Linked DNA regions of Coturnix japonica. The main gene of each other region encodes a partner of the protein of the gene in region 2 in a complex. Links are inferred from orthologs where the notes say so. Each region holds a gene or a part of one and is shown on either strand. Other genes may lie near its edges.

Evidence for each region. The genes of interacting proteins can lie anywhere in the genome.
Region 1: the proteins of BRD1 (region 2) and KAT7 are in contact, whole or in part, in a crystal structure (PDB 5GK9), measured with the Homo sapiens proteins. The link is inferred for Coturnix japonica from reciprocal best matches to the Homo sapiens genes BRD1 and KAT7. Residues at the interface, in XP_047297239.1 of Homo sapiens: Val40, Ile42, Glu43, Ile44, His49, Arg50, Ile51, Ser52, Ile53, Phe54, Asp55, Pro56, Leu57, Glu58, Ile59, Ile60, Leu61; in NP_008998.1 of Homo sapiens: Leu531, Phe534, Gly536, Lys537, Glu538, Ile539, Ser540, Ile541, Lys542, Pro552, Val553, Val556, Gln560, Leu565, Tyr567, Lys571, His572, Leu573, Val574, Leu575, Lys576.
Region 3: BRD1 (region 2) and ING5 share a complex: the UniProt entries of both Homo sapiens proteins name them as parts of the MOZ/MORF complex. The link is inferred for Coturnix japonica from reciprocal best matches to the Homo sapiens genes BRD1 and ING5.

Annotation. Positions count from the first base shown.
Region 1 is NC_029542.1:2,698,947-2,706,101, reverse strand, and holds the end of KAT7 (histone acetyltransferase KAT7), read left to right. Parts: intron 1-496; coding exon 497-688; intron 689-998; coding exon 999-1,088; intron 1,089-1,885; coding exon 1,886-2,026; intron 2,027-2,297; coding exon 2,298-2,391; intron 2,392-2,599; coding exon 2,600-2,746; intron 2,747-3,136; coding exon 3,137-3,243; intron 3,244-3,887; coding exon 3,888-3,989; 3' UTR 3,990-5,721; downstream 5,722-7,155. UniProt on the Homo sapiens protein: Catalytic subunit of histone acetyltransferase HBO1 complexes, which specifically mediate acetylation of histone H3 at 'Lys-14' (H3K14ac), thereby regulating various processes, such as gene transcription, protein ubiquitination, immune regulation, stem cell pluripotent and self-renewal maintenance and embryonic development.
Region 2 is NC_029516.1:16,759,452-16,766,606, forward strand, and holds part of BRD1 (bromodomain-containing protein 1), read right to left. Parts: intron 5,531-7,155; 5' UTR 5,517-5,530; coding exon 4,150-5,516; intron 1-4,149. UniProt on the Homo sapiens protein: Scaffold subunit of various histone acetyltransferase (HAT) complexes, such as the MOZ/MORF and HBO1 complexes, that acts as a regulator of hematopoiesis.
Region 3 is NC_029524.1:3,636,516-3,642,710, forward strand, and holds the end of ING5 (inhibitor of growth protein 5), read right to left. Parts: intron 5,577-6,195; coding exon 5,483-5,576; intron 4,909-5,482; coding exon 4,773-4,908; intron 4,612-4,772; coding exon 4,550-4,611; intron 3,516-4,549; coding exon 3,470-3,515; 3' UTR 410-3,469; downstream 1-409. Other genes in the region: D2HGDH (D-2-hydroxyglutarate dehydrogenase, mitochondrial), read right to left, coding at 1-316. UniProt on the Homo sapiens protein: Component of the HBO1 complex, which specifically mediates acetylation of histone H3 at 'Lys-14' (H3K14ac) and, to a lower extent, acetylation of histone H4. Component of the MOZ/MORF complex which has a histone H3 acetyltransferase activity.

The DNA.
Region 1 (7,155 bases), on a different chromosome or scaffold from region 2:
TAATAGGTGTATCTTTTCAGTAAGGGAATGGACAGCTTCACCCATGGAAACAGCAGCAAAGGAATGATTAGAAATGAAAGACAGAAGTCTTGGCAGTAATTGGTGACTGAATGAGGTTAAAATCCTTATATTGTGGCTGAGGCTTCTGTAGGTGCTCTTCAAAGCTACTTCCCATCTCCAGAAATGAAGCAAAAGATTCTTTGATGCTCACCAGTGACAGTGGTATCTGGGATGTCTCAAGGCTGAGAGTTGGGCTGTATCTCTTCCTGCAGATGAGGGCAGAAGTGTTTAAAGATGTTTTCTAAGTCATTCTTCCACCACTAGCTAGTGCTTGCGAGCTGGGCTCAGGCTTAGTTTACTTGAGGGGTTTGTGGGATATGTCATTAGGTCACAGACTTAAAGTGAAGGATCTCCTTGAGGGAAAGAAATACAGCCCCTTCCTCTCAGCATCCCTTTAAGGCATATGTTAATAGCTGTTAATGGATTTCATTCATAGGAAAAGCTGCGGCTCCAGGGCCAGATCACAGAAGGCAGCAATATGATTAAAACTATCGCTTTTGGCCGCTATGAACTGGACACCTGGTATCATTCTCCATACCCAGAGGAGTATGCTCGTCTGGGACGTCTCTACATGTGTGAGTTCTGTCTCAAGTACATGAAGAGCCAGACAATACTGCGCAGACACATGGTAAGGGCTGGGAAAGGTCTTTGATTCCTGAGCTTCAAATCAGGCATGAGCATGCAGATGGTTTTTAAGCATTATTACTGCTGTCAGTTCAGTTGTTCACTTTGAGAGGTGAGAAGATTCTGGGTCATTGTAAAAGAAAGTTTTCCTAGGCTTGATTTCTGGTCTGTTCAGTGGGTTACAGAGGATCAGAAATGAGATCTTAACTTAAATTAAACAAGCTTGCGTGTCTCCTGGTGTATCCAGCAGCTGTTGTAACCTCTTCTACCTTTAAAAACAGTAGTGTCACCCTAATTTTGTTTACTTCTCATAGGCAAAATGTGTTTGGAAACATCCACCAGGTGATGAAATCTACCGCAAAGGCTCCATTTCAGTGTTTGAAGTCGATGGGAAAAAGAACAAGGTAATTAATTGTATTAATAGGCCTAGCATTGCTTTTCCTGTAGAGAAACAGGATGCAAATGGCTCTTTCTCTCTCTAATGGTGGAAAGGCTACTGCAGGCTGGTCTGTGCATTCTTGCAATTCTGACGTTTGTTTTGTCTGCATTCTCACTGTGGTTATTCCTCACTGCTGTTGTGCACATGCAGTTTCACCTGTTCTCTTGCACTCTGTTGGATCAATAGCTTTTGGGGGCTTATGGCAGGATCCCTTTCTTAAAATGAATGGGGAGCTTCTGTGTGTGGCTTCAGTACATTGCTACTGCATCTCTCATTCAGCTGTGAACATTCACATTTGTGTTAGAGTGGAAAGTAGGCTGTTATTACTGAGGGTGACCTTGACCCTCAAATGAAGGGTAGAGCATCTGCAACCACAGGTTCAGTGCTAGGTAGCAGCAGTCTCTAGGTGTGTCCAGTCCTGAAGGCTTCAGAGGGAAGAACTGATTCAAAGCTAAGTTTTGCACTGCCAGAAGTTGGGGGGAGAATTTCTGTTTCCCACAGGTGACCTTGAAGCATGGGATTAATACAAACAAGCAGAGGTCCAACCTTCTGTTTCCTTTCACTGAGAATGTGATGTTTTGAGTATTCAGAGATAGGTATCACCAACAGAAATTCCCACTCTTGCAAATTTCACCTTATCAAGTATCTTCATAAATGGGATTGTTTCTGTCTGAAAGGCTCCACATCATTTCTCAGATGCAGACCTTCCTTTGTGTTTCCCACATATGTCTGGTTTTGTTCACACTCTCCTTTTGTTTCTAGATCTACTGTCAAAACCTATGTCTGCTGGCAAAGCTTTTCTTGGACCATAAAACACTGTATTATGATGTTGAACCATTCCTCTTCTATGTCATGACAGAAGCTGACAACACTGGCTGCCACCTGATAGGATATTTCTCTAAGGTTGGTTGCTTTCTTCTTGCATATAAACCTGTTAGATGGCAGAAGTGGGAGTGACTGCTGCTTGGGTTCAGTTCCATGTGCTGCCACCCTGAGCTTTACATTGTGCACCAAGCACCCACTGGCTGATAAAGTCAGATGCTAAGCCAGCCTGCTTTCACCTTGTATTGAATCAGTTGTAAAGGCTTGTTCTGTCTGATAGGGTTATGATACAGCCTATTGTTTGTGCAGATCTAAACTTGTTAATTTGTTCTCTGTATTCTTGATTTTTTAGGAGAAGAATTCTTTTCTCAATTACAATGTCTCTTGTATCCTGACAATGCCCCAGTACATGAGGCAAGGCTATGGCAAGATGCTCATTGACTTCAGTAAGTATAAAGAGAATCATTTTGGAAACATTCAGTTTGGTATAACAATTTCACCCCAGTATCTAACATATCTGTTAGATATGTGTATCATATCAGTGTTAGATCTGCATAGAAGCATTTGTTAGAGCTGATTTCTTCTCGTGCTGAAGAGTGTAGCAGTCAGGAGGGCGTAGTTTGGGAAGGAGAAATAAATTTCCTTTCCTTACAGGCTATTTGCTTTCTAAAGTAGAAGAAAAAGTTGGCTCTCCAGAGCGTCCTCTGTCTGATTTGGGTCTCATCAGCTACCGGAGCTACTGGAAGGAAGTTCTCCTTCGTTACCTGCATAATTTCCAAGGAAAAGAGATCTCTATAAAAGGTACAATTTCAACGTGAATAAACCGGTTCAGGAACATGCCTATGCAACCTCAAATATGAGACAGGTCACGCTCATCGCATTGATGCACGTGTTTGTGTAGCAGCACAGTTGGTGGAATCTTCCTGTGTTTGGATATTGCTCCTCTTTAGTCCTTCCAGCAGCAAAAATAATCCAACTTGAAGAGTTCTGTAAGCACCTTTGAAAATATTAAAAGCTTTCAAATGTTTTGCAAGTGAATTGACCACAGGCAACCTGTATAACAGTGCTACAGATAACCAGAGCAGTCAGAGGCTAAGTCAGATGCATAAGACTTTAGTTGAAAACTGACTGTTACAGACTGTTGCAGTGGGATTTGTTTCTATTCTAACCTAAACTGCTATTGGTTTGCAGAAATCAGCCAGGAGACTGCAGTAAACCCTGTCGACATTGTTAGTACGTTGCAGGCGCTGCAGATGCTGAAGTACTGGAAGGGAAAACACCTGGTCCTAAAAAGACAGGTAAGGTCTCTCATAGCTCTCTTTGCTCCTTTATTTCTTCATTTAGCTGTTAGATTCACTTGAACTAATGAAGTCAGTGTTATCTTTGGTGTTCGGGCTGATTTCAGTGGGGAGCGCCATCATTTTGAAATGCAGTGGCTACTCAAATAAAACATCAGCGCTGAGCTTGATTTTTCAGTAGTGTAGAAATAGGCTGCATAGACTGATATTATTTAATGTATAGGATAACATTGTTCATTGTAAGCAGCTTTTAGGGGGTTGATGGATTGACATTCATCTCTTGCCCCTCATCGTGCCTAACCTTTATTGGGCAAATGGAGGCACAGTAGTGAAATGAATCCTGAATGTGTCCTGTTTAGATCCTCATTAGGTATAAGACAAATGATTTATAAACCCCCAAAGATATGTCAGTTTCTCTCACTGATGTGCTCTTTCCGAAACTTTGTAGCTGCAGGAAGCCTTATCAGTGTGGTTGGAAGTGCTTCTAGAAAGTGCTGTGGAATAGAAGTTATTTTTGAGCTGCTCAGCAGTTATGGAGTGGGTTAATCAGATTTCTGGACTTCGATGTTTGGTGTTGTACTTTGGATAATACCCCCATCACAGCCTGTTTGTTTTAACCCACCCTTTTGTGCTCTTCTCCTCAGGATCTGATCGATGAATGGATAGCCAAAGAGGCAAAAAGATCCAACAGCAATAAGATAATGGATCCCAGCTGTTTGAAATGGACCCCTCCGAAGGGAACTTAACTGTCTGTCACTTCTGAAGCCAGTGAACCCCAGCAGTAGGAAGTACCCTAGGGATCTCTGTTGTACCTGTTGCTGTTGTGATTGGCTGGTACAGTACCCTCCCAAAAGATCAGCTCCCCTTGGTACTGTTCTGGCCCGGATCTTTTGTGCACACCAGAAGCTAGTTCTGAGGAACTTTATGTTTCGGCCTCAATGAGGTTGCAAGGATTGGATCTGTATAGGACCCAAACGAAGCTCCTAGTAGCGCTGGCCCAAGGAGTTCTGATATCTGGTACTGTACCTGTCCAGTCACTGGTCTTACCCTCATGTTCTTATTCCGATGAGGTTGTGTTGTGTCCTGTTACCTGGTTGTTCCTTCCTTCAGGTTCCTTGCTTTGTAAGTAACGGAGGTAACTTCTGTGGCTTTTGAACAAGGTCTAACAACACTTGTTTGCAGAAAGGCTGTTTTCCTAAGCAAGCTGCCATTTACACTGACTCCAGCATTTTTTAACCAGTCCTGTCTGATGGGCTGTTCCATTCCACGTGTGAAATAATACTACTAAGGCAACATGCCACCTCTTTGAGCAGCGTTTTCCATACCATACAGCAGGTCTTTGCATAGCTAAGATTGTGCAGTCAGAAGCTTATACCTATCTTGTGACTTGAGTGCTGTGATTGTTAGTGTTATCCCAGGGGAGTGTGAGCTGACTGCCTGAGAAATCCACAGTCTGATAAACTTCATAGAGCTGCTCTTGCTGTGTGCTCCTGGATCTACAGTGGTGCCACTTCTATTGGGGACACCTCTGTCATTGCATATTGCTGCTTACCTGGTTCTTCTCATGGAGCTGCTGGGTTCCTTCACACAAAACCAACCCATTTCACTGGGGATGTTTTGGATCGTAGGCCTCTTTCTATTGAGGAAGGATTTTTTTTCTTCCCTCAAGACCGAAGGAATGAAATCTTCACCGCAGATAAATATTTGCTGACCTTATCCAAACAGCCACAGAAACTCTGAAATCCAAATACCACCAGTTGTTGGATTGCCTACAATTTGTGTTCCGTGCATCAGTGGCAGCTTCACGTAGCTGTGTGGATGGTTTGTTTCTCTGACAGTGCAGCCTTGTTTGTCTTTGTAAAACAAGAAAGCTTTTACTTCCTCTGTCCCATCAGCAGCACCAGATGAAACTATCATACAATGGCTTTCAAGTATAACCACTGTCTTTGTGCCTCAAGTTTGCTATATGGCTCCGGCGTCATTAAAAGGAGGGCACAGACTTGGGGTAGGTGATGGCAGCATCATTTAGTGCTGATTTCATTGAAACCTTCCAATGCTTTTCTTGTTGTTGAATGGTGACTGAAGTGAAGCACTTGCAGCATCCCATACCAGTAGGTAGGAGCCATTTCCCGTTAACCACTGACCCATCCTTGTGTGGTAAAGTTCTCTGTTGCCCTTCTGGTGGTTGTCTGCCTTTCTCTGCCTCTTTATAAAAGAAGAAACTAAAAAAGAAAAGAAAAAAAAAGACCATCAGTCAATGATGTTGTACTTTGTGGGCATTACTGAATTGTGCTGTCTCGTGCCCTTTGCTCCTGTATTGTAACTAACTACAGCTACTCACAAAAATACCCAACAAAGTAGATCTCTGGAGTAGGGAAGAAGGCCATTCTTGTACAGAAGCTAAACCCCATTCCCAAGATGTGGTAGAATGTGCTGTTCTTGTATCTACTTCTCAATAAAGCATGTTCTCTGCTCAGGTCTGTGCCTTCCCTGCATTTTCTTGTCTACTCTCCATCTTCAGTTAAGCAGAGCTGCCGCTTTATGCTTCAAGGAGCTGATTTGGGACCCGTCTTTGCGCCTGGTGTGTTAAAGGCACAAAGCAGCCTCAAGGTTGGATGTTACAGAGATTGAAGCCCCGTGGATTCACTCATGAGCTGGTCCTGCATGGGAGGCTGCCAGGAGGAGGATGTGGAAGCAGAAGTGTGTCATGGAGCATCAACTTTAATTCTAAGAAGGAAGGAGTTACCCTAAAAGTGATCATCTCAGGTTTTGAACCTTTCTTCAACTGCTTCCATCACCAGAATCTCCTCTCTCCTCGTACAAGTGAAGTCTTTGAACAATAGCAGCTGGAGTTCATTGCAGAGCTTGAATCTTTGGGTTTCTGATAGGAGGTCCTTACAAGGAGTCCACTCAGTGGGGAAAGAAGAGGTAATGTTAATTAGGCTCTGAGCTGCAGGGAGGCAATGATGCTGTTCAGAGCAAGGCCAACATATCAGTGGTCGTGGCTTGGGACTTGAGATGCTCAGCTTGTGAAGAGTGAAGTGAGATGCAACACCTTGATGTCTGTGTTCTCTATAAGATCACAGATAAAACCACAGACACTTCCCTGAGCGGTGATGTTTGCTAACTCACATCGAGGCTCTTCCTGTTTCTTCCTTTCCTTACTAACAAAGGCCATTTAATATCAGTTAAAATAATTCCATTTAAGGCGATACATACATATGGGAGTGTTGCTTTTACTTGAGCACAGCTTGGCATAATACCAGCTACCAGATTTACTTTTCTAAGTTCAGGAAGATACGGCGTGGCTTAGTTTGTAGATAACTGTACAGAGAGATGGGTTGATAAGAGCTTTAGTTCCCACACTGCTCTGCTCACAGCTTCAGTTTCCCTTCCTCTGCCTGCTGTTTATATTTGTTCTCTGTACATCCCATTACACGATGGGGTCTTCTCTTGGCTGTGACTTTGGGATCCTTAGGTAATGCAAACACTAATTAAGCAGTGAGTCACACAGAGAGCCATAAACATCGCTAGGTAACTGAGGATGAGACATTCAGCTGCTCACAGTTTCACCCACAGTTTATTCACAGCGACTTCAAGCTTGCAGACACCAACACATACAATGTTGGTGGTTTGAAGCCCACTTAAAAATGGTGATGCTAAAAGAAAGCAATGGCTGCTTTCAGAACATAACCTGGATGATGCATTCTTGCTCTGTCTCATCTCTGTTGTAGAGCACTTGCATTCAGCCTTGACCCAACACTGGCACAGACTGTGGATGTAATATTAGCACACTGATAACCCTGCAGTGTCCTTTGCTAGGCTGATTCTACAGATACAAATGCAATGCAAGGCTGAATCAGAAGCTGAGAGCTGAACTACTTCTATATCCCAGAAACAAAAACAGTGTGG
Region 2 (7,155 bases):
TCAAGAATAAGAGAAAAACTGTAATGTTTGCTGTGAAAAACTAATTCACAGGGTAAGGCAGCTATTAAAAAGGATGATGATAGCCAACAACAGAAGGAACAATTCACAAGAAAAGGAGTACAGAGCCAGTACATGGTAACTCAAACAAATATGAAGGAAGTCTTAGATTGTCAACTCAACTGTAGAAGTCAAAATTTCCTACCTTCGAAGTTTTAGACCTGAAATGTAAGAAAACACTTCCCATACTTAATTAGAAAAAAGACTCTTATCTAACTATGTGAAATTCAACCACCGTATATCATCAGTGAAGCATGAGCCCTGCAGATATTCAGTGCAAAATCCACCTACCACTACTTCCAGACAGATCAGCTGGTGGCTGCAGGAGGCCTGTGTCAGTGAGTCAAGTACTGTCTGTACAGCATAATCAACAATTCAGTACTTCATATTTAAAGAAGAATTGAGTAGAATCTCTGACTAAAGAACACTTATATAGCCAGGAAGGCCAGATGCATATCCACCCAGAAAATTTCCCAGTGGTTTACTCCAAGCACTAAGCAACTTACTAAGAAGCAAGCAATGAATTCACCTCAATGCTCTAACATGACACACTGTATCTCTGGAAGTGGACACTTATACAGACATCCTGAAAAGCTGAGGTACAAGATGAGAAATGGATGCCCAGAAATAAAAAGTGAGTGGGAAACAAGCATTCATCTCCTGTTATTGACATTCAACACCTTCTGATATTGCGCTCAGCAGTTCACAGATGACAGTCTGAAAGGCCATATAATTAGATCACAAATAACCAAGGCATGATACTACCTACATAATTGTAAACAGTTTCAAGCATAACATTTGCTAAGAAACAATGGTAACTGGAAAGAATACAGGTCTCAAAGCCACTCACAGCAGAATCTAAGGAACAGAGATACAGAAATTCACAAGTTACAAAAAACTGTGTAGAAATGATGATACTTTTTTACAACATTATTTTTAACGTATCTTAAAACAAACAGAGGCATTTCAGAGAACAGAATTACTAAAATGGTGATAGTAAAATGTTCAGGTTTTTACACACATTCACTACACAGATAAGGAAACAAAATATATCCCTACTACATTCAACTAAACATAAATGACAAGGAGTTTCTCCAAGCAGTTGTGTTCAAATTAGCATTTATGTACTACTGCAACTACTATCTCTAAAGAACCAGCCATGAACACGTGTAGTCTAGGTATTAATGATGAAGAAAGTAAACCAAAACCAAACAGCTCCCCAGGCGTTCCTCAGTCCTCACAGATGGAAAGAATAAGGTTCATTTCATTTTTTTTAGGGGAAGAAAATAAAAAATAAAAATAAATAAAATAAAATAAAATAAAATAAAATAAAATAAAATAAAATAAAATAAAATAAAATAAAATAAAATAAAATAAAATAAAATAAAATGCACCAGTGTTTAAAGCTGGAGCCTATTTTTTCTTCTCTGCAGGTGAATAATTGCTCTTCTTAAAGTTTTCTGGGAAGGTAAATCACATTCCAACTCCAAGGAAAGAAAAAACAATTCACATACTTAAGAACAGATTAAAGGCACAATTTAAATGAAGACAGATACAAAACACTTCACATAATTTGTTACTAGTATATAGGTGTGTAATTAACTCCACATCAAAAACACAGCTTTTCTAGACAACAACAACAAAAAAATAAAAAATTGGACAACTGAGAGTTGGGAAAGGAAAATAAAATTCACCTTTTAACGTGCCCATTTCTGTTTTGCTTTCAATTCAGATATTAGTTTTCCAGGACTAAATGCATCCTTATCAAAAAGAATATTTAAGAATCTTCTTGCATGAAGACAATACATTTATAACAAAGTTAAAAACTTTAAGTTTTTGTGTTTTTGTTTGTTTTTGTTTTTACATTTCTGATATAAAGTATCATTTGAATGTGTTATCCCAACAAACATCCATGTATACAGTAACATGAACCTGAGCATACATGGAATCTCTCAGTAGAAAGAAATCAACAGTCTTTATATATCTGCTCCTGGAAACTAAAAACACTTTAAAAAAATTCTGATGATGGCATCCCTTCAGTGTCAGGGTCTGACTTCAACAAAAGTCATCTGTGGGTAGAATTGCCAAAGCTACAACTAGGAACACACATTCCAGTTCTCAACTCTCATTTAGTCCAAGTTCTTTCTGTTGGCAAGAAGACACAAAATAAAAATCAATCAGGATGATATTCATTCAGGTAAGTTGTTTTTATAAGCTTTCTCCCATGGACAACAGTATTAGTTCGTATAACATTATCTGCTGCTAACTACCAACTTAAGCCTTTCATTGGTGCATCACTTAACAAAAATAATACAATTGTGCCAAGTGAGCCATGACACAGAACAGTGCAATCACCTGATGATGTCTGTAAACATCGCACAGGAGGCTAAAGGCTGACAAAATTAGTCAGTGAGTACCTACATACATTAGTAGTCCTTATTACAGGAAAACTCTCATCTCCAAACACTGTTTAGACTAATTTAACTGGTTTTCAAACGTCCACCACCTGATACTTGGTAGCCAGCTTTCAAAAAGCATTGTTTATTTATAGCATCTTAAGAGCCTTGTACACGATTAACCTGTACATGGAACTTGTGCCTCTACAGAGAAACTTTTTAATGTACGGTTATTAAATTCAGTAAGAATTTAATTCAAGGGGTAAACAAATATACTGCTGCTGTAGATGCTGGAAGCAAAACAAATAATAAAGACAAACTTGGTTTTAGTCCCAACAGTCCAATTTAATGCTTCTCAGCACAGTATATTATGTCTGAAATGCTCAGCAGAGCTAAAACCCTGTTTTTCTAACCCAGAGCTTTATTCCATTGCTCAAATCCCATAAACATATATTTCCACTACTGAAATGAATTATAACTCAGTTTAGGTGAAAGAAATCTGAAGTGAGATAACGCTGCTCTTTTGAACTACAGTGTAGCTAATTTAATCAAAATTCATTCCAAAAATCTTTAACTCCTGAAATAAAAAGCATTCAAAAAGCAACATTCTGTTCCAATTCCGTTAATTACATATGAAAACAGACTTTAAAACATTCCTGCTTTTTCATTCAAGCATCGCTTCACTAGCCTCACCAGATCTAGAGCCATCTGCCAGCCCACTGATCATCACTGCTAAAATATAAAAATATGGCATGTTAGATGTAAAGGGCATCCTCAGCTCTGATGTTTACATTTTGCACTGAAGTAACAGCTTCTGTGAAAACTTCAATACGCTAATAAAAGAATCAGCAGAAGTTCTTACAAAGGACAAATTCGTAAGCAAACGTGGTGTTAAAACTCTTTTGCACACACATTAGTTTTTGTTCAAGAGAAACTGTACTAAAGTTATGGGACCACAGATATGCCAGCATAATTCTATGGGAGAGCACATTCATGTTGAGTTACACAAGTAAGACTGCATTACCTAAAGTATGAGAGGTAACAAATTCACCCAAGTCTTCATAAACGCTATTGCATTTGTGAAACATTAATGAAGATATAGGAAAAATATCCTGAGAAATTATTTTGTACCACAAGGAAAATACCTCTTGGAAGACCCTTTTGTACCTGCATAGATCATACAGTACATGCTTACATTTAAGTTAGGTAAGATAAAAACATTATTAATATCCTATACATGCAAATCTAATCTTCATTTTGGAGTTCTCAAGATAGGAAAAGAAGTTTGATTACCAGCTTATAAACACGGTTAACTTTGAGCTTGTTTTTTTTTTAAATAAATGTCAAGTACATCAGCTATTTTGAATTTCGAAGCTAATTTTCAAAAGAACAGCAGACAACAGAGCACACAACATGATGTGGTCTGACAAAGTAAAAAAAAAAAAAAAAAAAGGAAAAAAAAAGGGAGTTTCTGAAAACAAGGCAGACCTCAGACCTCTTCCTAATTCCTCTAAAGAAGCTACAGCATTTTTAACACACTGTCAACATACAGAATTTACATTACTCTCCTGAGCACGATCGTTGCCAAAGACAGAAGAAACGGACAAAAACTTCTAAGACTCCATCTAAAAGCATTGGCTTAAAATTAAACAGATAAATTAAGTAAAGGTTTCTCTCACTTGGATGGTTTGCTTACCTCTGGGGGGGAATATAAGGAGCAGATACAGTTGGCATAACTGTACAGGGTTCAACAACTGTTTTCTTGGCTTTTTTTGTCTTTTTTCTGACTTTTGATGTAGACCTAGCAGTTCTGACTGATCCCTCCTTTCTACAAACACCGTTTTTGATTTCAGCTTCTCCATAAATATTTAGAGGTCTCCGTATGCAACCTGGTGGAGTATGTACATCACAATAGGCAGTCTTTTTTACAGAGAATGTTGTCCCACTGCCGGTCAGTTCTTTCACAGGTTCCATTTTCATATACAGACCAGCCTTTTGAGCACATGTCACATGGAATGCAGTATAGCAGTTTGCTTTGTGGCACTGGATGCAGGCACCAACACCTTTCTGTTTACAGAGGTAGCACGTTAACTTCCATCGGGCTGGGGGAATGTTCCTGACACCATCAATTGGCTCAATAAAAACTGTATTGGCAAATCCAACCTCTGGAATCCACAAAGCACACACAACATGTCCCCAACGATCATCATCAGTCTTTTTAAAGGCACCTCCCTTGTTTGGGCACAGCACACAGTCTACAGGCCGAGAACGGGACTGCAGACAGTGTCTGCAGAGCCACTGGCCCTCAGGTATATATGGCACCCCATAGCATTCCTGATGTACTGCTAAATTACACATATCACAAAACAGGATTACATTGCTGTTCTGACATTCACCATCCATGCATATACAACACACTGCATCTTCATCTATTAAAGACTGATGATCACCCTGTTTTTGGTTCTCACAATAAGACTCTTTCTCAAACCTATCCATAAGGAATTCAAACATGTTTTGGGAAACAACTGACACTCCATCACTTTTCCGTTTTTCATTAATTATTTCTAACCACGCATAATCTTCCTCATCCATGTCATACTCGACTTCATTATCAAGTTCTTCCGCTGACTTTTCAATGAACTTATAATAAACCGGAGGTCTCCGAGGAGCTGAAGGGGGACTGTATTCAACAATCCGTACTTTTGGTTCTGGAAGAGGAGCTGTTGTAGCAGGTATGCCATGTGAGCTCGGAAGAGCTTCATTTTTCTTTTTCACTTTGTTATTTTTATGCCGTTTGCTTCTTAGACAAACTGGGGGTCTTTCACTATTTTCTTTATTGCTGTTGCATTCACTCATTTCCTGGGCTGTAAGATCATCTTCTAATATAATCTCTAAAGGATCAAAGATACTGATCCTATGTAGGCGACCTTCAATTTCTATTTCAACCATTCTTTGAGCTTGAGCGTAAGTCAAGGTTTCTCGTGTGGGGGAGTGCTTAATACTGCATGGAGAAGAAGAATGCCTTGTTGCCGATACTCGATGACATCTTCCTTTCCTCCTCATTTGGTAATGTTTCCCTAAAATGAGAGCAACAGTTAAAATTATGATCTCTGAAAATTTATATAAGAAGATTAGTTTCATTACAGTAAGAAGCAACTTCAGTTCTATGGCCCCAAACTACCTATCCAACCTTTTCCAAAAGAAAATTAAAACAACAACCCTAGCTTATCCAAGTATAGCTGTGCTTACACAGTCCATAACATAAAAATGCTTCAGAAGAGCTAACTGTAACAACTATAGGGAAATAATAAGAAAGGCTCAGACAAAAATGATAACTGTTACATTGTAGGAAAATCTTTAATACAGTATTTCCATTTGCTGAGTATGTGCAGTTCTTTTCAACAGCCTGAAATCTTTTTTCCTCTAGGTCTCACCTCTAGAAGAACTGACATAATCCTGGAAGAAGAGTAAGTTTTCCCCACAACTTTATTCCATGCAATTTTAAAATCATATTAACGATTCCTTTATTACCCCCATACTTAGAGTTAGAAAAACATTCATACCTCCAAGGTTAACAAAGCTTTTTTAAAAAAAATCACAGAATTGTGGGGGTTGGAAGGGATCTCTAGAGATCATCGAGTCCAACCCCCCTGCCAAAGCAGGTTCCCTACACCACGTCGCACAGGTAGGTGTCCAGGCGGGTCTTGAATATCTCCAGAGAAGGAGACTCCACCAGCTCCCTGGGCAGCCTGTTCCAGTGCTCCGTTACCCTCACTGTAAAGAAGTTCTTCCGCACATTTGTGCAGAACTTCCTAAGCTGAAGTTAGAAATACTGAGTGTATAGTTCTTTACCTAACTACATATCCACAGAAACGGTTTCTGTTTTTAAGAATTATATCTCCATATTCAGAAAGTTATTAACAGTGTTTTATTCTTTTATCTAACTCCCACATTAGCAGGCTGAATCCCATTCAGTGTCAGAACTTTCAAATATAGTGATATACACAGAATGACAAGAACAGAATTCAACTCATAATGTAAATATGAAATAGGACCGCAGTTAGGAAATGCTCAACTTGTAAAGTAGATTTGATTTATACTGAAAACATGCAAAATGAGAAGCTGAGTGTGCATGTACACAGACACACGCCCTCATCCCTCAACCCATTCTCATAGCTTTCCTCATAGCAAGAGTAGGTAAATAACTTCCAGTCTTTCAGTCCAAATCCAAGCTCTTTATAAAATGAAACTTACATAACTTTCTAGTTTCAATACACCTACCGCAACAAGGTCAGCCTCTGTTACAAATACCACATCATAAAAAAACCTAGCTTTTTCCCTCCCTATGAAGCACCATAACTAGGATGGGAACTCAATTTGATTACAAAATATAACTGAGAGCTTCCATGCTTAAACCCTTTAAGACAGTTCTTTTTCTATCAAGACTGAAAAATATTACAGAACCATTCATGTCAAGCCTACAAGCCTCTTCTATCTTTCTCCTTTTCTCTCCTTGATAAATCACTAATAAAACAAACTTGATCTGTAACGAACTACTTAATCTATTATTACAGCCTCACCATTTAAATCCTCATCAATCAGAAATTGTGCACTTCATGCCTTTTTTCAGTTAAAATAATTCTACTCACATTAACATGTCAAAAGAGCTCCAAGCACGACTATTGTCAGAGCAGTATAATTA
Region 3 (6,195 bases), on a different chromosome or scaffold from region 2:
AGTCCACATTACTTTGTTTCAGCTCCTCGGGGTCCGTGCTCGCCCTGCCCGGCATCAGCCCCTGAAAGAAGCCCACATCCTGGCGGCTGAGCCGGCCGAACGGCAGCCGCCGCAGCCCGTAGCGCTCGCAGGTGAGCGGGACCTGCCGGCAGCGGGGCCGGGCGGTGTGTAGAGCTCTGTCGGGGCGCAGCCGGGACCCCACGGCAGCACGGCACCGCTCGGGGGCAGCGCTCGGGGGTCGCCACGTCCCATAGGAGCCCAGCAGCCGCTTCAGGCGGGACCAGCTGAGCACAGCGGGGCCTGCGGGGATCCCCATGGCTGGGACGGAGCGGCGAGAAACTAAGACGGAGAACGACACAGCGCCCCCTGCGGGAGGGAGGACCACACACCCCCCAACTGCTCCGACAGCTCGATTCCCAAAAATACTTTATTTATATCAATATATCCATCATCTATAACGTGATCCAAAAAAATACAGATATACATTTATTATTATTATTATCTTTAACTTTACATTCTTTTTTTTTGTTTGTTTTGTTTGTTTGATAAAAAGATTTCTATCCTCTTCCATTTCCAAAGGGAACGTAGACCAAATTCCTTTATAAAACAAGGGTTGACGCCGTTTCACCTCCCGTTTGGCTGAGCTGGAGTAAAGCCGGACACCACCCAGCACTGTGGTGCACTGACAGTGGTCACCAGTCCGTCCATCCTTCTCCATCGGGGCCTGTTTAACACTTTACATTCAATATGCAGGAGAAAGATTTGATGACTCTTTTTCTCGCCACCAGAAGTGAAGGCTGTGTGTCCCCCAGCGTGGATGCAGGCTGGGTTTATTGCTGGTGTGGGTTCTGAGGACACACTGGCGGTGTTACGCTGTATGAACAACCAGGCTCTGCACCACGCGCTGATCCTGGCGCCTGCTGGAGCTTCTTTCCCTTTGGAGGATTGATACCAACTTCTACAGTGTTGGGTTGGTTGGTTCTTTTTTGCTTTGCTGGTTAAAATAGAAAGCATCTGAGCCCAAGAAAACACATACAAAGTACATCTTGCTGTCCCACCTGACCATCTTTCCTAAGCATAAGGCAGTCAGTGTGGCACTGACCGTGCATCTCCATACCTGCACATTCCCAGCAAGGTCTCCCAAGAGGCACAATCTAAGTTTGGATTCCTTTTCAAATCCAATGCTTGATTTACGGTGATACCGTGCACTGCTAAAGCCTTGGGAGACAAGGGGGAAACCTTTACAATAGCACTGGACGGAAGGAGAAAACAGAACTTGGGACAGCATCGCAGCCTTCAGGACAGTCACCCTTAGAAGGAATCCAGTGTAGCAGGTCAGTGAGGTACAGGCTTACTGCTGGTACTGAATTACAGGCTGGCTCATGAGGTATCGCAACTACATTTACTCTCAAAACAGAGGCAGGAAGAAGGAGAAGGCTGGCTGTATTTCTAAGCCCAGCTCTGGGAGGTTGTGCTTTCCCTCTCCCTTCCCACCAGCTGTTTCAAACTTGTCTGTGTAGTTTCAGGGCAGCGACGACAAACATGCATCGTCCTGTAAACATTAACTACAGAAACTTCATATACAACGCGGAGTGATGCGATGCAGCAAAGATGGATGTCACCCTTCCAACAAAAGGACCCTGCAGGCAGGTTTTCTGTGCAGCAAATACATCCGAGGGTTCACAGAAATCAGTACCAAAAGGTTTCTTTGCGACAATCTGAATGTACCTGCAGCAGCTACAACAGAGCAAAGCAGGAAGGCAGAACTGCCATGAGCTGAGTTCTACTTTCCTTCCTGGCCAAACACAAACGATGTGGCCAGGGCAAGGCAAGGAAAAACGTTTTTCTTTTGGGAGCTGGTGCTGAAGTCAGATTTGATTTGTTTTGGGTTTCTTTTTCTTCCCTTCTGTACTGTTTAGTCAGGTTGTTTTTAAAGCAGAAGAAAGTGCTTATCTGGAAGCCCTTCCAACGGCCTGTATCAAGAGCTGGCATGCAGAGCAATGTGCAGATGCCATTAACAGCCATCACAAGCTCACAGACCCTGCTCCATTCTGCTGAATGGGTTTCTGCCTTTACCCACAATGTCTCTGTTGTAGGCAGTTAAGCCTCATAATACAGGGGATGCCTAAAGACAACAGTTATCTGTTCTTCCCCCGACTTCTGCATCCACTATTAACTCTGGAAGGAGAAAAAAAACAACCCTAATAGAACAGAGTTTTGTTTTCCTATTCATGATTTCCTACTTATCCTTTTGCTGCAGCAACCGCTGTGATGACAGCAAACATTCACATTCGAGACCTGAAAGGCAGCTTCAAGAAGTCAAGAACAGGCAATGTTGCCCCTCAAAAAAGACAAGCAGTGACTTAAAGACATTCCTGCTGCGTTGCCTTCTCTAATGGCACTTTTTCATAGCAAAAGCTACCCAAGAACCAAACTGCCACCACGCTACCACACAGCCGCCCTTCAGCTTTGCTGCATCATCACTGGCATGTACACACTGCTCTAACAGAATCTCCCCTTAAAGCTTGAGATATAAGAACATCAAGCCTTCATCTTACTGCATGGATAAATCGGACCCCCTGCCACAATACTCTGGGTATCAACTTCACAGTAACACACTTAAAGTTCATTTTTAAAGCAACAAAAACTGACAGGAAAGGTAACTTGCTCTCTCAGTACTACTGTCAGCACTGCAGGAAAACCCCTTTGATATTTAAAGGTTTTGTTCCAGAAGACACGAGGAGGTTAAAAGCCACAGCTTGCTTCTGTTGAGGCTGTGGATATGAGCAAAACCAAGTAAAAGAATGGCAGTGTAAAGTTAGACAGAATAAATTCCCCCAAAGGAGAAGATACTAAGGATGGTCTTCTCTCTCTCTCTCTCCCGTACTCATCCTGCCAATACTAAGCACAGCATTTGGCTCTGAGGAAACAGCCACTGGGAGCAGCTAATCAGCTTTTTCGATCCTCTCTGTACTACAAAACTGCACAACAAAGGGGCATCACACCAGAGCAATGGAGATAATCCTTTCCTGTAGGCTGCACGAGAGAGAATTGCTTTTCCTGCCATGCTAAGCTCCAGGTCTGAATGACTTCAGCGATGGTAGCATCACACCGAAGGCAGCATCACACCGAAGGCTGGGTATCTCAATGTCCTGCAGTGCCTCTCAGGGTTTAACAGACTCCTAAAACACAAGCAGACTATGGGCTGTTCTAGCACTTCGGAGTAACACTGATGTCAGTGCAGTGCCAGAGTAACATAAATAAAATCCCTGTGGCAAATTCCTCCCTTCCCAAAGTCACTTTCTTACAAAAGAACAGGAATTACAACTGGCCGCTGGGTAATTAAATAGCGTATCAGAAATGGGAGGAGGGCAGCTTTTAAAATCACAATCAAAATCAAAGATGATATTGCAACATGAAGGAAGGAATATATTAAAACTCTTCTCGCCTCAGAGGAGGTTATTCCCCTTTACTTCTTGCTTTTCTTTTTTTCCTGAACACAACGTGGACAAAACCTACAGAGAGAGAGAAAAAAAAACCTGGCTGTTAATTAGTTCCTAAAATTAACAACATATTACTCGGGAGCCTTTTCCATTACTTGGAAATGAGTGGAGGCGGTGTTAATTTTAGCCAACTGCAACACTTCACATGGCATGCAGCAATATTAAGCAGAGGGAACGAACCGTATGGACACTGGTGGGCAGAAGGGACAGCACTGGAAGGCTACAGGGGCTCACCTGCCCCTCACAGCTCTGAGGGGCTCTATTGCATTCACCCACAAGCTATTCCAACCAAATTTCTCAAGGCTGGTACATCAGCTTCTTCTACAGTCAAAGGAAAAATGATATTCTGCCCCAGCAATGATTGCAAATGGCTGCAGCTCACTTCTGCTTAACCTCGATTCTAACATGCATCTTATAGTCAGATGAACCAAACAGAAGGATTTGCATGTCTTTAAAAGTCTGCAGACTCAACAACTCAACTGTCATTCAACTGCATGCTGCCACCGCCATATCCGATTGAAATGCAATGACCAAGTCTTACCACTTGTTCCCACTCCATGCAGTACTGCCGTTGCATTTCCTCTTTAAATTTTGCTTTTGTTATGCAAACTGAAGAGCGTGGTATTTTAATTGCAAAAGCCAACGTTTAGCAAAGCTTTTTTCCTTTGCAAAAGAAAGCAAGCACGGAAAAAGCCTAGGACTCCTTCTAAAATAGCACACAAATAGGTGAAGAACTGCTGTAGTCTTACATTGTGCTCCCCTAAGCAGAACAGAAAATATTCTTTTCCTAACCTTAATCACATCAACAAATGCAAACATGAGATGTAAGCTGTACACTCTGACAAAAGCCTAAGCTCATGGACTGCCCTGCTTATCATGAAATTCTGCACTCCTTCATAGTCCCAAACCCAACATGGTGTAAAACTCCGACCACAAGAACGAAGTTCCTTTGTTGGGAAGGGTCACCATGGGGCTTCAATTCTTTTTGTGATTCCTTTGGAGAGAAACTATAGCCTGACAGAAGTCAAAAACCTGCATGTCCTTACCATTTCCCTTTTGGTTTGGTGGTGAGGTCCACACAAGCAAAGTGGAACCACTCAATCGGGCACTGCAAAAGAAAGGAAAAATCCACAGAGGAGATGCTTAGCATTTCACCAGCTACATTCACTTTGGATGATAAAATGAGCAAGTAACCCCCTTGAATTTCACTGTCTGTCTCAAAAGATACAGAGTGCATTTAGACGATAAAGCAATAAAGCAAGTGCTTACGTCTGGGTTGTCACAGCCAATCATCTCCCCGTAGGACACCTGGTGACACAAGCAGTAGGTGGGTTCGTTGGGGTCCACAGGCATGTCCAGGACATCTGAGGGATGCACTGACAGGATGGTGTCAGCAAACTCGGAGCTGCAAACAAAAACAACTTTTCAACTTGCCACTTAACCAATGGAATATATTGGAATTAACAGAGTGCCTTTAAAAAAAACACATGACAGACAGGTGAAATGCCTCCTTCCTTGCTTCACAGAACACAATTATATTATTCAAGACTATTCAGTACACTGTTGTTTAAAAAAACAACCAAAAAAACTCTGCAAGATCTCTATAAGAGCAACACAGCATCAGCATTTGTCCCAACCGAGAAGTGTTTCTTTACAATGAATATCACAAGCAACTGTTAAAAATAGCTGCATGACAAAAATCAAAGGTATTTTCCCCCAGCTTGCCAACAGCAACAGAGACTCTGATCTCGTCCTTCCAGACAGAGGGCATTCCAAGCATGCTGGGTTTCCATGTGGCAAGCAAGGAGTTAATTAGCAAAGCTAACTTGTCTTAAGGAGGACTCTAATTAGTGAGACCAGAATACTGGAACGTCACTAACATCCCAACACAAGAGTCATAAATAGGGTAACAGGAACACAAGGAAAATTCATGAAGTGTGGAGCTCAAGTCACCAGAAGTGTGATTGGTTACGGCTTACCCTCCTTTCAGCTTCTTTTTCTTTGGTGTGTCCTCTTCAGATGTTCGCTTGCCTCGACCACGAGAGCTTCTTTTGTCTTTCTGACTTTTTCCCTCTATAAAGAAGGATAAAGCATCGCTTCAATCAGTCTGAATACCACCCTCAGGTGTTTTTCTTTTGGAGCATTTGTGGTTTTGAAATCTTTCTGCCACATGCAACCAAACACAAGCACTGATTATGAAATGCACATACACTTTTCTGCCACAAACACACCAGTTTTGAAAGTAATATTGTCAAGCTTCAAAGTCCTACACCTGCAGTTTTGGCAAGTCATAGAATCATAGAATGGCCTGGGTTGAAAAGGACCACAATGATCATCAGTTCCAACCCCCTGCTGTGTGCAGGGTCACCAACCAGCAGCCCAGGCTGCCCAGAGCCACATCCAGCCTGGCCTTGAATGCCTGCAGGGATGGGGCATCCACAGCCTCCTTGGGCAACCTGTTCCAGTGCGTCACCACCCTCTGGGTGAAAAACTTCCTCCTAATATCCAACCTAAATTAGATTATTGTATGTTATAGTGGTCCATAATGTCACACGAGACTTTAATAAATAGCAACATATATGATGAGATATGTATTGCCTTCTGCAAATCTAAGCGATAGACTAAGCCTGAGGCTGCGACTGTTCAACTCAAGAACTGTAGGAATCACAAGCTGAGCATCAGTTCAGTACTA